Linked DNA regions of Oryctolagus cuniculus. The protein of the gene in region 1 purifies or fractionates together with the protein of each later gene. This does not show direct contact. Links are inferred from orthologs where the notes say so. Each region holds a gene or a part of one and is shown on either strand. Other genes may lie near its edges.

Evidence for each region. Proteins that work in one complex are often made in the same cells at the same time.
Region 2: the proteins of DUSP4 (region 1) and MAPK8 purify together in Homo sapiens (affinity purification with western blotting; 3 studies listed by BioGRID and IntAct, with this or other methods). This does not show direct contact. The link is inferred for Oryctolagus cuniculus from reciprocal best matches to the Homo sapiens genes DUSP4 and MAPK8.

Annotation. Positions count from the first base shown.
Region 1 is NC_091433.1:79,442,376-79,449,210, forward strand, and holds the start of DUSP4 (dual specificity protein phosphatase 4), read right to left. Parts: upstream 3,953-6,835; 5' UTR 3,812-3,952; coding exon 3,403-3,811; intron 1-3,402. UniProt on the Homo sapiens protein: Regulates mitogenic signal transduction by dephosphorylating both Thr and Tyr residues on MAP kinases ERK1 and ERK2.
Region 2 is NC_091446.1:81,310,854-81,317,667, reverse strand, and holds the start of MAPK8 (mitogen-activated protein kinase 8), read right to left. Parts: upstream 4,341-6,814; 5' UTR 4,140-4,340; intron 1-4,139. UniProt on the Homo sapiens protein: Serine/threonine-protein kinase involved in various processes such as cell proliferation, differentiation, migration, transformation and programmed cell death.

The sequences.
Region 1 (6,835 bases):
GGCAGAGGTCAGAGCTGGGCCAGGCTGAAGCCAGGAGCCAAGAGCTTCTTCCAGGTCTCCCCCAAGGGTACAGGGGCCCAAGGACTTAAGCCACCTTTCGAAGCTTTTCCAGGTGCATTAGCAGGGAGCTGGATCGGAAGTGGAACAGCCTGGACTTGAACTGGCGCCCATATGGGATGCTGGCATCACAGGCAGTGGCCGCAGCTCCACCCTTTTACAATACTAACTCTCCAGGCCTCCGCTGTCCAGAGCACACACGGTGTTGTATTTGTACAGGAAAAACATCCTTTCCCCTGGGCACACAGAAAGTGAGTAAGCTCATCCTCCCCCCAGGGGAAGCAGAGATAAAGACACAGCCACATGGAGATGACAGTCCCCAGCCTGGCCTGCCAATCCCTGCCTGTCATTCATGGTGGGCTCCGGAAAGAGATAGGTATCCTAGTGTACCACAAGGGGCACAGGAAATTCAACCTGGAGGGAAACAGGTGAATCTTAGGAAGGAAGATAAAGTTGTTATACTCGCAATCTCCTTGCATAACAACAACAACAATAATAATAGTTATTTGGGAATATTGGAGGTAAGAAATAACTTCTGGCTAAGCTTAGGGTAAGAAGATACTCCTGTCTTTCTCTCAACCAGGAATTAAAATTCTATGTCAGATTTAAGAAGGAGAGAGAGAAAAGGGATTCTAAAGATGTGTACTGGGATTTTATATAAAAAATACCGAAATCCCTCAATTGTCCCTAAAAATTCCTTACAGGATTTCAATTAAAATGTTTTAAGAAATTACTCCAATGGGACTCTTTTACCGGCAACAATGCAGAAAACACTGTAGAATTGTAGTTACTGCTCTTAACAAAACTGGGGTAATAATAGGATCTGTAAGGGCCCCACGGAACTCTGGTAAGCCTTTACTCTTGTCTTCCCGAATTCTCCTGTGGAATCAGTTACCACCTGCAGTGGTGGAAACAGGAAAACTGGATTTTTGCACGCAATTAATTAGTAGAACGAGATGAGTCTTCGCTGGGAAGAATGGTATCACTTCTGAAGATATCCCGTCGCTTTCACTGTCACCCTGTTTGGCCACGCAGGGCAGTCATCGGCCATCCGGCCCCGCCTGCTGGCTGTGCTGCCCACGGCCACTCGCCTCCCATGCGCGCGAATAAGACATAATAAAGGCCCCACTTCCGAACAGGAAAGTCAAATGAGCAACTCCGGTGGGAACCACATTACCCAGACCGCTATCAAGCGAGGCTCGCGGAAGACTACCCAAGGGGTTTTTGCTTCCCTTTAGATGCCGCTGCACCTTCCCGCGGGGTGTGGGGGCAGATCCGGGCTGTTTCCTTCCCGCCCTCTCCAGGGATGCCTTCCGCACCCTGAGGGCCGAGAGGACAAAGGGCCTGAGTGACATCAGAACGGAACGGAACGGAACGCAGCCCAGGTCACCTCCCCCATCAGGCTGGACAGCCCCGCGCCCTGGAGGCGCTTTGCTCTCTTTGCTCCTGAAGACGCAGCTCCAACCCCCGGCTTCGGTTGGGGTTGGGGTTAGGGGAGCAGCTGTCCCTGGCGAGTCAGCAGCTAAACCTGCTGCCCAGGACTCCCCCTCGATCTCCATCCCTGGGATGCCCCCTGTGGCGCGCGTAGGGTCGCAGGCGGTGCAGGCCTCGGTAGGATCGCCCTCTCCGCAGGCCAGGCACCTCGCCACGCCGCCGGGACACTGTCATTTTCCCCAGAAACGGCCTGGCGTCTCATCAGTATTTGCCTGGCTCAGACCGGGTCTGGCTCGGCGTCTCGGGATGGGATTCTGGCTGATAGCCCGGGGGACAGGACCTAAATCACTGTGTCCCGGAAGCCCCAGGGCTCCAGCCCCCGCGCTGCCGCTCCGGGGCGGTCGCCTCCGGATTTCTTCCAGGAAGGAAAACAAAACAAAACAGACGCCGGCTGCACGTGGGGCCGGAGCCCAGCGCCAGCCCCCTCAGCGTTCTCGCGCTGCTGCGTCCGGCCAGAGGTCCGCGAAGAGACGCGCGCGCTCCGGCTCCGAACCAGCGGGGCCGGGAGGGCTCGCGGCTCCGGGGGACTGGGAGCGCTCCGACAATGGCGCAGACGCTCGCCCAGGAGGTCTCCTAGGCACCTGCGGCGCGGGGACCCCGGCACCGCAGGGCCTGGCAGGGCGAGCGGCTTCCCCCGCGCCGTCTCTTAAAGCGCCTTGGGGAGATTTGGGGGTATAGGCTGCAGCGGAGGGGCAAAAGGCGACCCTTAGGGAAAAGGAAAAATCAGCAAAATCGCCTTAGCGGTTCAACCAAAGGTCAACAGCGGCCTTTCCCCGGCAGCTGACAGGTCAAACGGTCAGCAAACAACGACGCAGGACAAAGCCCCCCGCTGTCCACAGGGGCGGCCCGGCTCGCAGGCAAGGAGCTACGCGGCAGTGCGGCGGGGAGGGGGCGGTGGGGAGAGGTTTTCCGCCCCTCTCCCCCGCCCATCTCCCTTCCTCCCGGGCGAACAGGTCCCGAGGGGAGAGGCGAGGAGAGAGGGGGCTTAGGGCGCCTGCAGGGAGAGGGGCGGCTCTTTGATGGCGCGGCTAGGAAACGCCTCTCCGGGTCGGAAGCGAAGACCCGGCGCGGCCAAAGAATGTGCGGAATGCGGCGGCCCGGGGCGGGGTGGGGGGGCGCAGCGCGGCAGGGGACTCCCCGGCCCCTGGCCCGGCAGGTGCGGCCAGCGCGCCGCCGCTCCAGCGACTTCCAGAGCACGCGGGACCCTGCTGCCGCTGCTGCCAAGAGTTTGGCCAGGGTTCACTTCGCGCAGACACGCGCCACCATCAGACAGCCAGGGAGACTCGTAGCTGAACAAAAGGTCTCGAGTCTCCACCGCCCGGGTTTGCACGGTTCTGGCCCCGCGTCCCCGAGTCTGGGACTAGCCCAGCGCGGAAGCAACCTGCCACTTCCCACGCGGCGCCTGGAGTTGGGCAGTGGGAGACGGGACGCGAGGATCGCTTCCCACTGAGCCCAAGGGACACAGCCAGTCTCGGCGCTCACTCCCCTCCCTCACCCCCGGGGGGGTTAGGACTCGGGGCAGGGCACTCGGTGGCACCGGGGAGCACTCCCCGCCAGGACTCCAGCAGAGTCGCCTCACCCGCGAGGCCAGAACCGTTAGAGTGTAAGCAAACACGGTGTCGCCGCGACGCCTTCGGAATGGCAGGTGACCCGGGAAACGCAGCCGCACGGTCCCCAGGAACTCGGAGCTCGCACGCGCAGAGACGCACGACCCTTTGCAAACCCACGCACTACACACCAACACGCGCGCCAAGGAGCGCGCGGGGCTCCCCACGGCCAACGAAGTCGCCCCGGGTATTCGGTCCCCACGCCCCTGCCCTCCCCGCTCGCGCGGTGGGCGCCCGCGTGTACCTTTGAGCAGGCAGATGTCCGTGCGCTCGGCGTTGCGGCGCAGCGCCTGCACGACCAGCGACACGGTGCTGTCCTCCCGGAGGCTCTCGGCGCGCGGGCTCCGCTCGTCGTAGACGATGACGGCCGAGTAGAGGCCGGAGCGCAGCCGGGCGCGCACCTCCTCCTCGGCGGGCAGGATCTGCTCCAGGCTCACGGAGCCCTTGGCCCGCCGCCGCACGATGGTGTTACAGCGCACGTTGACCGAGCCGCGGATGTAGCCCGCGCTGTGCGCCAGGAACGGTCTGCAGTCCAGCAGCAGGCACTTGCCGCCGCCCAGCAGCCCCAGGGCGCCGCCGCCGCTCTCGTCCCGGTTCAACAGCCTCTTCAGCACGCTGCAGTCCATCTCCCGCAGCTCCTCCATCGTCACCATGCCGGCCGGTCAGCGCGGCTGCGGGGCGCGCGAGGGGGAGCGGAGGGCCCCCGGGCCGGCGAGGCTGCGCGCGGGCGCCTGCACAAGTGGCCGCAAACTTGTGCCGCCGTGGGCAGCCTCTTCTCGCAGTCCCCTTCCTCCCGCAGCTTCGCGGTTACATAGCAGGCGCAGCGCAGCGGTCCCGGGCTCCCGGTAGGCGGCTCGCTGGGGAGGCGCTGGTGGCGGTGGCAGCAGTGGCGGGGAGTGCGTGTACGGAGAGATCGCGGCTCCCGCTCGCTGCCGCCTCTCGTGGGCTTAGCCGGCCGTACTGTTCCCGCCGGTGCGCGGGCCCCCAAGCACAGCCGGAGCTCGGCGCACCGCCCGGCCGCGCTTCCTCCTCGGCTTATAGATTTATTAATGCTCCTCGGCTCCCCCCACCCCGGGGAGGGAACTCAATACTACCTTGCGAGGCTCCGCCCCCTCCCAGGCCCGGCCCCGCGCCCTCCCCCCCCCCCCCCCCCCCGATCGCAGCCCTCCCGGGCGCGTGAATGGAGCGCCGGCCGCTCGCGCCTGGTCACGGGGCCGCGACGTCACAAAGAGCGGAGTAAACAGGCCGCTCGGTGCGCGCCGCCAGGCCCATTCATAAAACGGAGACCCAGCGGAAGAGGGAGCGGCCTCCGAGCCGCCGGCGAGCGGCGGTGGCGGCGGCGCCTGGACTTTTGTGAATGGAGCCGCCGCTCCGCCCGCGGGCCCGGAGCCCGCCGCGCGCCTCCCGCTCGACACGAGCAGCGGGGCCGCCGCTTCCCGGGCCGCGCGAGGTTCGGTGCAATGGAAACAAACAGCCGGCCCGGACTCCGGCGCCGCCGAGTCCAGGACGAAGCTCCAGGCTGCTTCCCCTTTGTCTCCATGCTCTCCCCCCGCCCCGCCGCGCCCCTAACTCAGCCGCAGGTTTCTCCCCAGAGCCCCAAGGGAGAGGGGAACGCGGCGCGCCCCCTCCCCTTCCTCCTCCCTCCGGCGCGGCCCGGGACTCCGCTCCCCGGAGCTCAGCGTGCGCGCCCGGGCCAGCCAGGCGCGCTCTTTACGCAGGCGTTAGCGGGTGACTGAGTTTATCTCGCGTCGTGAGATCAGCTTTACGGCTTCCGAGGAACGTGGGCAAGCCCCTTTTACAAGAGGAAAGAGAAAGCCCTCCCCGCCCCCCGTAGCCCCGTAACGGCGAGAGGTGCCGGGCTGCCGTGGACCACCCGGAGGGAGGCGCGCATGGGCCGAATGGTGGTGGTGTGCGCCGCGCTTCCTAAAAGATGTTTATTTAACCCTGGCGGGCGGAGGCTCTCCTCCCCTTTCTGCGCGCGTGTGGACCGGCTCCGCAGGGCACAAAGATGGGGTCCGCGTTGGGTGTGGGGCGAAACCCCGAGGCGCGGCCGTGCGCTGACCTTTGGGAAGGATTGAGCGAGCCGCGGGCCCCACGCAGGGTTCCCGGCCTCCCGCCTTCCTTCCAGGTCACGTAGCATCCCCCCCCACACACACCCCCGCCCGGCTTTACTTATGCATTTAATTTCCCCGAGGCCTCTTTGACACCGGGGTTGTGCGCGCACGCGGTGGGGCCCTTCCAGAAGCCAAAAATTATTCGGCCGACATCTTGCCAAGCCTTGTTAGGGGAGAATTAATCACCGAGCTAGGGAATTACAGGACGCGCCGCGAGTCCCGGTAGCTGGGTCGCGCGCCGGCCCCTCCCGCCCCGGCTGGGCCCTCCCCGCTCGCCCTGCTCCGGGCTTTTGTTCCCGGCTGCGCGGCTTTCCGGAGCTCTCACCTCCGGCCCCCGGGGCCATTCGCCCCAGGCCCCAACCGGGGCTCAGCGGGGCCTCCATTTCCGAGGCCACCGACCTGCGCCCCACCACCCCGCCCTCAGCGCCCCGAATCCCCCACCCGGGGGCCTGGCCTGTGGCTTGTCCGGGGCAGAATCCTTATGTTCTGGGGCTCCAAGGTGGCTCAGCACGACTCTGCAGTGCTCCTGTGTCGACTTAAAATGGACTATTTCGTTCATCGTGCACTTTCGCGTTTTTGATACATGGCTTTAAGACATTTATTTTGATCAGTAACTTTTTCACACACACACACACCCCTGAAGTTTTGCGCCTGAGGCACGCGCTCACCCTAATCCCAACCCTTTGAGGGGCCCGGGCGCGGGCACTCCGGGTGGAGGTCAGCGGACACAGCGCACGGAGCGACACGAGAGGTCTCCGTGGCGCCCCTCATTCTGCTGGGGTGGCTGTGGGGCTCTCTAACCCCTGATCTCGTTAACACACCAGGAATGCGCCCTGGTCCAGGGGTCCCCCAGCCCTGACAGCTCCGGGAAGATTCGCTTTTCCAGGCAGCTCAGATATCCGGCCCCTCTCGGCGAGGAGAGACCCCTACTCCTTCGCAAAGGTCTGGACGGGACGTGGCTTCCAGGAGCCTCTCAGTGGGAGGCAGGGCCGAGCCAATAGCGCCACAGGGGCAGGAGGTGGGGCAAGGGCCCGGAGCCGCACGGGCCGCGCGCTGCCCGCCTTTGTCGCCCCGGCGCCGGGGGCAGCTCCCCGCCTGCCCAGCCCGCGAGCGGCGCTCACGTGGCGCGTAAGGAACAGCCCAATACGGGGGGAGGAGAATGCCCCCGGAACAAAGACTGGCTCTCTGCACTTGACAGCAGTCCGCAGCCGCCAAGCCCCGCGTCCCGCGGGCGCGCGTGGGTGTCCGCGTGTGCGCGCCGCGCCTGCGCGCTGCTCCCCGGAGGGCGGCCGCCGCCTCGGACTCGCGTGTGCATGCCGGGAGTGGCTTCCGCGGCGAGGGCTAAGGCCCGGGTGTCCCCTAGCTCTAGCCCAGGAATCGGCTTTGCGCTAATGAGATTTACGTTATGGTATTTCATTTATGTGATGCACATGTATGCATTTTAATTCTAAGTGCTTGTAGCATTCGGTCCGCAATGAAGCAAATACAGTGGGAGGGGTACCGGACAGCGGCTGTTCCAGGCTTGGTGATAAAACTTCCTCCAATTGCTCAGCGGGCTGGGGG
Region 2 (6,814 bases), on another chromosome or scaffold:
GGAAACAACTGGCATGCTCTTCTGTAGGATTACGATGTACACTGAGAGTCAAGTTGGTTTTAAATTTACTTGACATTTTGCATTTGTTCAAAGTTAAAAATACTAAGTGATAACAATAGTTAAAAATGTCCTGAACACTTAACATCTACCATGTAGGCCTGGCATCGGCGCCAGGCACCTGCAAATGCAACACCTTATTTAAAACTCACAGCCCTATGATAATTCAACAGGTCCAAATGTGCTAATTAATCTAAACCAGCCACACCACTGGGATCATGGACTGGAACTTGGGAATGGCCCTAGTCCATATGAGCGATCACTGTGAGGTTTGGGTCCCTCAACTTCTTCAAGAATTGGCCAGTTTTAGCCCAATCTGGTGTACAAGTAAAAGCTAACAGTAGACACAGACATATGTCACATGTATGACATAACCCAATACCTTGAAAAATAGTAGCTAGTAAGATTTTCAAAAGTATCAGATACAATTTTGAAAACCTGGGTTTCAGTGAAATCTGGCCTGCCTAGAGATTTGTAGTGGGTTCTCTGCTTGAGGGAAGCCTCACACATCTTTTCAGAGCACAAGTCCACTGCTTAGATATGGCTCATATTCCATCCTTGATCATAAGCTTCTTACGGCTAGTGAACCTCCATTTTCATTTCTTTCACAAAGTCTCTGAGAGCAGCAAGTCTCCTTAGAAAGCATGGTGTTGTAGGATGAACAGAATCTACCATTAAAACAATAACAATCTTGAGCTTATGGTTATGCTTTTCTTTTCTAGTCTGGCTAACTCAACAATGTTCTCTGCTAACAACTAACAGAAGCCTAACTTTCACTGCTGTTCTGGACCCCAGCTTCTTTCTGAAGAAACACCTAATTGGGAACAAACTTCTATTTAAAAAAAAAAAAAAAAAAAGGCATTCCGACAGCCTCAGTTTATAGTTGTAGAACCACCTTGCTTAAGACTCCAAAGTCAGCTAAGTAACAAGTGAACCTAGGTCTGCTCCCAGACCATATTATTTCAATACTCTTGTCAACTTTCAGGTAGTAAAATCTCTTGAATCAGAACTCATTTCTGAAATCAAATTCAAGTTAACCTGCATTAGCGTAAGAATGCAAAGCTTCTAAATATTCAGGTAAAGAGTTCATGACTAAGACAATAAGCATCACAGCTCACTAAAATAGGCAAATGATTCATATCTAAAGTTACACGGTTATAATGACTTCCTTGCATTACATGAATCAGAAAGGCTACTGCCCGTACCAAGGACTTGACCAGAGACCTCGAGAGAGCCGGCATCCTAAAGCCAGACACTATTTCATTCTTCCACACGTGCAACAAAGCATCTCAACCACGCAGATGACTCAAATATGTCAAAACTCAGCGTGATGGCAAAGCCCCAACCGAGGCAGGCGCCTACTCAACAACCTTAATTACCACCAGGATAGTTTGTGACTAGTCATTTAATAACAAATTACTTCAAGTTGTTTCACTAAACACCGTGGATCACCACAGGTCATTTCCGTAATATAAAGTAAGGGTATACTGAAGATTCTAGGTGAATTAATTTTGATACAATTTACTCTTCCTCTGAGTCCTTTTCCAATGTGAAGAGGTATGAAGGACAGTTTCCTGTTCCTCCAGGACACTCAAAGGTGCCCTTTGCAAAGTCATTAAAGGCATGGATTTAGTTAACAGAAGCAGCGCCATCTCTCCCTTTAAAACATTTTTCAAATGCTGAGTGATTGCTAATAGGCATGGGGTTTCTTCCCTGGCTGATGACAATACTCTGGAATTTAAAAGCAGTGATCAATATATAACTTTGTGAACATACTAAAAAAACACTGAAATGGAACACTCTAAAAGGATGAATTTTATGATATGTGAATTAAATGTAAAGAATGCTATTAAAAAAAAATTTAGGGAAAAAAAAGCAGCCACAACTCTAGTTCTTTAAATTGCCTGACCAAAGGGTTTTTATCAGTAAGCCCTACTGGATCCTGACATCTGACTAACTTGGTAAAGCAATTAAAATTTGGTATCTCAAGATTATCATTCCGTATTTTAATAAAGTATCACTTTATTATTTCTTCATTTCTACTAGACATCAAACAGTAAGTTCACCTCAACTTCTTTCATATCAAAACAAATGTGAAAATGTACTTAGCAGTGAGTGGGAAACAGCTATAACTTGAATAATTAGGTATTATTTTGAGTTTTAGTCCCACATGCGTCATGAAGTGTTAATATAAGGAGTTAAACATTTCCAATTAATGCTTCTAAAATCCTATTAGAAGTTACATATTTCTAATAAAACATTTACACAGTCTATATCCTTTTTTCTAGCTTTTCTACTGAAAGAAGTAGTCAAAAACCTCTCAATACTTACAAGAAGATAAACGCAATCATTTCAGCCTCCTACTAAAATACCACTCTGTGTGTGTGTACACGTACACGACACGCCTTGGCCCCTACAATCCAACTTACTTTATGAATCACCAGAAAACACTTAGACAAGGTTTTATTTTAGGATAGTGGATGGCCTAGAAGTGACGGGGGGTGGGGGGGGATGGGGGGGAATGACACCAAAGTGACTCAAAAGCCCATAACCCATCTCCTATTATATGAAACCGATCGTTTGGCTATGTGGAAGAGAATCGCAGGAACCTTCCGCAAACCATATGAACGTTAATAAAAGTTGTATTGAGCACTTACTATTTCCCCGGCTAGAAAAAGAGAAACAGATGGAAGACAGGCCTGCTCTCCAGGAAGTCCCAGGCTTTAGTCAGACTCAGCACCACAGCCTCGGACCTCCTGGGTTTCACGTTAACCGCGGCGGCCGGGTCTGAGGTAGCCATCCCAAATGACCACAGGGCTCGAAGACTGGGCAAAAAAAATAAAAAATTTTTTGAAAGTAAAAACTATTGTGGATTTAGATCAAAGATAACTATCTCCTCGTATAACATTTTACTTGAACTTCCAGAGATTCTGTTAAAAACTAGTAAAATGACCCAGCGCACAACTCTACCTCCACACACGCATCGCTTATATAACCATCTCATTTAAAGGCACATCTGCTACACTGCAACCAAGGCTTCCTCCTCCACTGAGGGCCGTCTTCCCTTTACATGCAAACCTCTCCCCTGTGGGCGCAGTAGGGAGCAGCTGCCGAATGAATGAATGAATGAATGAATGGAACACACGCGCGCGCGCACACACACACACACACACACACACGGATGTTCTCGCTTCAAGCAGGCACTGGATGCTTAGCTGACAGACCAGAATTCCACCGGAAAGACCACCGCATCTACAAACAGCGACCACCGGACATTGTCTCCTACCGCGCGGTCAACACGGCGATCCACGCACAGTACAGACGCGAGGGGGAACTTGAAGACGCCACAGTGTCCAAGGCGGCCTCGCTTCCACCACCCGCCGGGGGTCGGGAACGCCAGCGCAGACAAAGCGACGGCACGGTGGGGAGAAGCAGCCCAGAGGTCACCACCGAAGTGACCCGCAGCGGGGACACGCGCGCTGGCCACGCAGGCTCGGGGCCGGGATCGAGGGGCACCCTCCACGCACGGGCCGCGGGGCCTGGCCTCCCCCAGGCCGCCTTCGACTAGGAAGCCCGCGCACAAAGGAACCTCGCCGAGCGACACGCGCACACACACACGGTCCCCGTGGGCGCCGGGGCGGGCGCGCGGACCCTGTCGCCAGCGCGCCGGCCCCCGGCGCCGGGGAGTCGGCTGCGCGCCGCGGGCCGCCCGGGCCCCCTTCGCCCAAGTGCTTCCCAAGTTGCCGCCCACCCCCATCTTCTCCTCCCGACGCGCAAGCGGGACCCCCGCGAGGAGGGCGTGCAACGACAGCGACGCGCGCGCGCGGGCCGGGCCGGGCCGGGCCGGGCCGAGCCGACCCGGGGCGCCGAGCCGGGGCGCGCGTCCGGCGCCCGCGGCCCCACGCCCCCCGCGGCCGCCCCCGCCTCCGGGGCCGCTATTGTTCCCGCGCCGCCCCCGCCCGCCGCGCGCGCCCGCCCCCACGCCCGGGGAGGGGTTCACGGCTGAGGAGAAGGCGGCGGCGGCCGCACAATAACATAAACACGGCGGGGCCGCCGGCAGCCGCGGCGCCCGCCACACTCACCCGGCAGCGCGGCGAACAGCGACGGGGAAGCCCGCCGGCGGGCACGGGCGCCGTCCGGGCGGTCGCCGCGGCCGTTACCCAGCGCAGCTCGCGGCTCCGCGCTCCAGGCTGCGTCGTCCGGCCTCGGCCGCTCCGCTGAGTAACAGGGACGCGCGGGCCGTCACCGCGCACGCCCGCCCACGTCATCGCGCAGAGCCCCGCCCCCCGCGCCTCCGAGCGGCCCGCGGGGCGGGGCGCCCCGGGGCCCGGATTGCGGGGGCGGGGCCGCGGCCCGGGGGCGGGGCTACCCGCCGCGGAGGTCGCCAGGAGGAGGAGCCCCCGGAGCGCCGCCCGACAGCCGCGTGCGAGGGGCGTGGCCGCGGGCCGGTGCGGGCGGGGTCCCGGTGGCGGCACGTGGCGGCGCGTGGCCCGGGCGGGTGGCGGCTGCCCCGCGGCGGTCCGCTGATGCGCGCCTGCACCTGCAGGGCTCCTCGCCCCGGGCGTGGAAGGTCATACCAACCCGGCGAGCAGGTGCACCCACTTGGGCGCACACCTGGGAGACCGGAGCCGGTTACCGTGACCGACTGGACTCTGCATACTGAGGACACCCGCCTGGGGCCCGGCGTCCGGAGGCAAATCCAAGGCCTTTATTAGCCTCCTGTTTGTTTTCTGAAAACGCACCTAGTCCGGATTCCTTGCATTGCCGGGTTTACAGCTGAAGCTCCTCAGAGAAATTGACAGGTCCTTAAAGACCCAACAACAGGAGGAAGGCACCTGCGTTACTGTCAGGCGTGCTATAGAGCACGTTTTAGGAATGTGTTCGAGGAAGTGTTACCAAATTGGGAAAGACAAAGAAGCAACAAGGACACCCACATACACGGAGTGATCCGTGTCAGTACTGCCTAGTACCTAGGGGGAAAAAACTGGAAAGAAATGTGCCAGGGGCCGGCGCGGTGGCTTAGGCGGTAAAGCTGCTGCCTGCGATGCGGGCATCCCATATGAGCTCCTGTCCGAGTCCTGGCTGCTCCACTTCGCATCCAGCTCCCTGCTAATGGCCTGGGAAAGCAGCAGAGGATGGCCCAAGTGCTTGGGCCCCTGCATGCACATGGGAGACCCAGAAGAAGCTCCGGATCCCTAGGTCCGGACTGGCACAGCTCCACCTCCAGCCATTGCGACCATCTGGGGAGTGAACCAGCAGATGGATCTCTCTCTCTCTCCCTGTAACTCTGCCTTTCAAATAAATAAGTAAATTTTTTAAAAAGAGAAATGTGCCAGATTATTTTAACATCTGTTCATCATTAGACAGAGTGAAGGGTGATTTGGGTCTTTGTTATACTGTGGGTATAACAAACCCCACGCCTAGTACAGCCATACTGGCCCTGCTGAAGGTCTTTCTTTCTGACAGGTTCTGCAGTGGGGGTGGGGGTGGTTGGGGGGAGTGGCATAGTCAGAATGACATCTTTTTTTATTTTTTATTTTTGACAGGCAAAGTTATAGACAGTGAGAGAGACAGAGAGAAAGGTCTTCCTTCCATTGGTTCACTCCCCAAATGGCCGCTACAGCTGGTCTGCGCTGATCCGAAGCCAGGAGCCAGGTGCTTCCTCCTGGTCTCCCCTGTGGGTGCAGGCACCCAAGCACTTGGGCCATCCTCCACTGCCTTCCTGGGCCACAGCAGAGAGCTGGATTGGAAGAGGAGCAACCGGGACTAAAACCCGGTGCCCATATGGGATGCGAGCGTCGCAGGTGGAGGATTAACCAAGTGATCCACAGCTCAGAATGTCCTCAGAATGACATCTTGAAAAGAGTCCTATTAGGGGCCTGTGCTGTGGTGTGCAGGTTAAGCCATAGCCTGCAGCACCAGCATCCCATATGGACACCAGTTCAAGTCTCGGTTGTTCCACTTCTGATCCAGCTCTCAGCTAATGTACCTGGGAAAGCAGTGGAAGATGGCCCAAGTGCTTGGGCCCCTGCACCCATATGGGAGACCTAGATGACGCCTCTGACTCTTGTCTCCTGGCTTCAGCCTGGCCCAACCCCAGCTGTTGCAGCCATTTGGGGAATGAACCAGTGGATAGAAGCTCTATCTTTCTCACTTCATCTCTCCTTCTCTCGCTGTAACGAAAAGAAAGGTCCTATTGGAAGGAAGTCACTTGATTGTAGGAGTGACTTAGATAGCAAAAGGTGGAGACCCAGTCTAGGCTTGTTGTCATGGAAACAGTAAGTAGAAGGACCGGAGGACTGTTGGAACATCCAGTGTGCACAGCTTGCACGTTTTGCAAGTGGTGGGTGAGAGGGGATCATCTTGGGACTCTCGTAGGCTTCTGGCCTGTGGCCAAGGATAGAAGCTGGTGCTGATCCTGCAATGTGGGACTCTTGGAGCAGGCCCAGTGCGGCGGGGGGAAGATCATGAGAGCAGATTCGCTGGTGGTCTGACCACTATTGATATGCCCGAAAGAATTGCCTAGTTGGCAGTTGTACTGACACGGCTGGGGCTTGCTAGGTAAGAGATGAATCACTGACCAAAGGAGTGACCTAAAGCCTAGGGTGTGGACGAGTGAGCCTAGGCCATGGAGAGACAGTGTAGTGTAGTGTGTGAGAAGAGGGCCTAGAGCCAGGCACTGAGCAGCCGTGATAAGGAAGATGAGCCTGTTACAGAACTACCAGGGACATAGAAGAAAAACAGCGAGAGAAAGGGG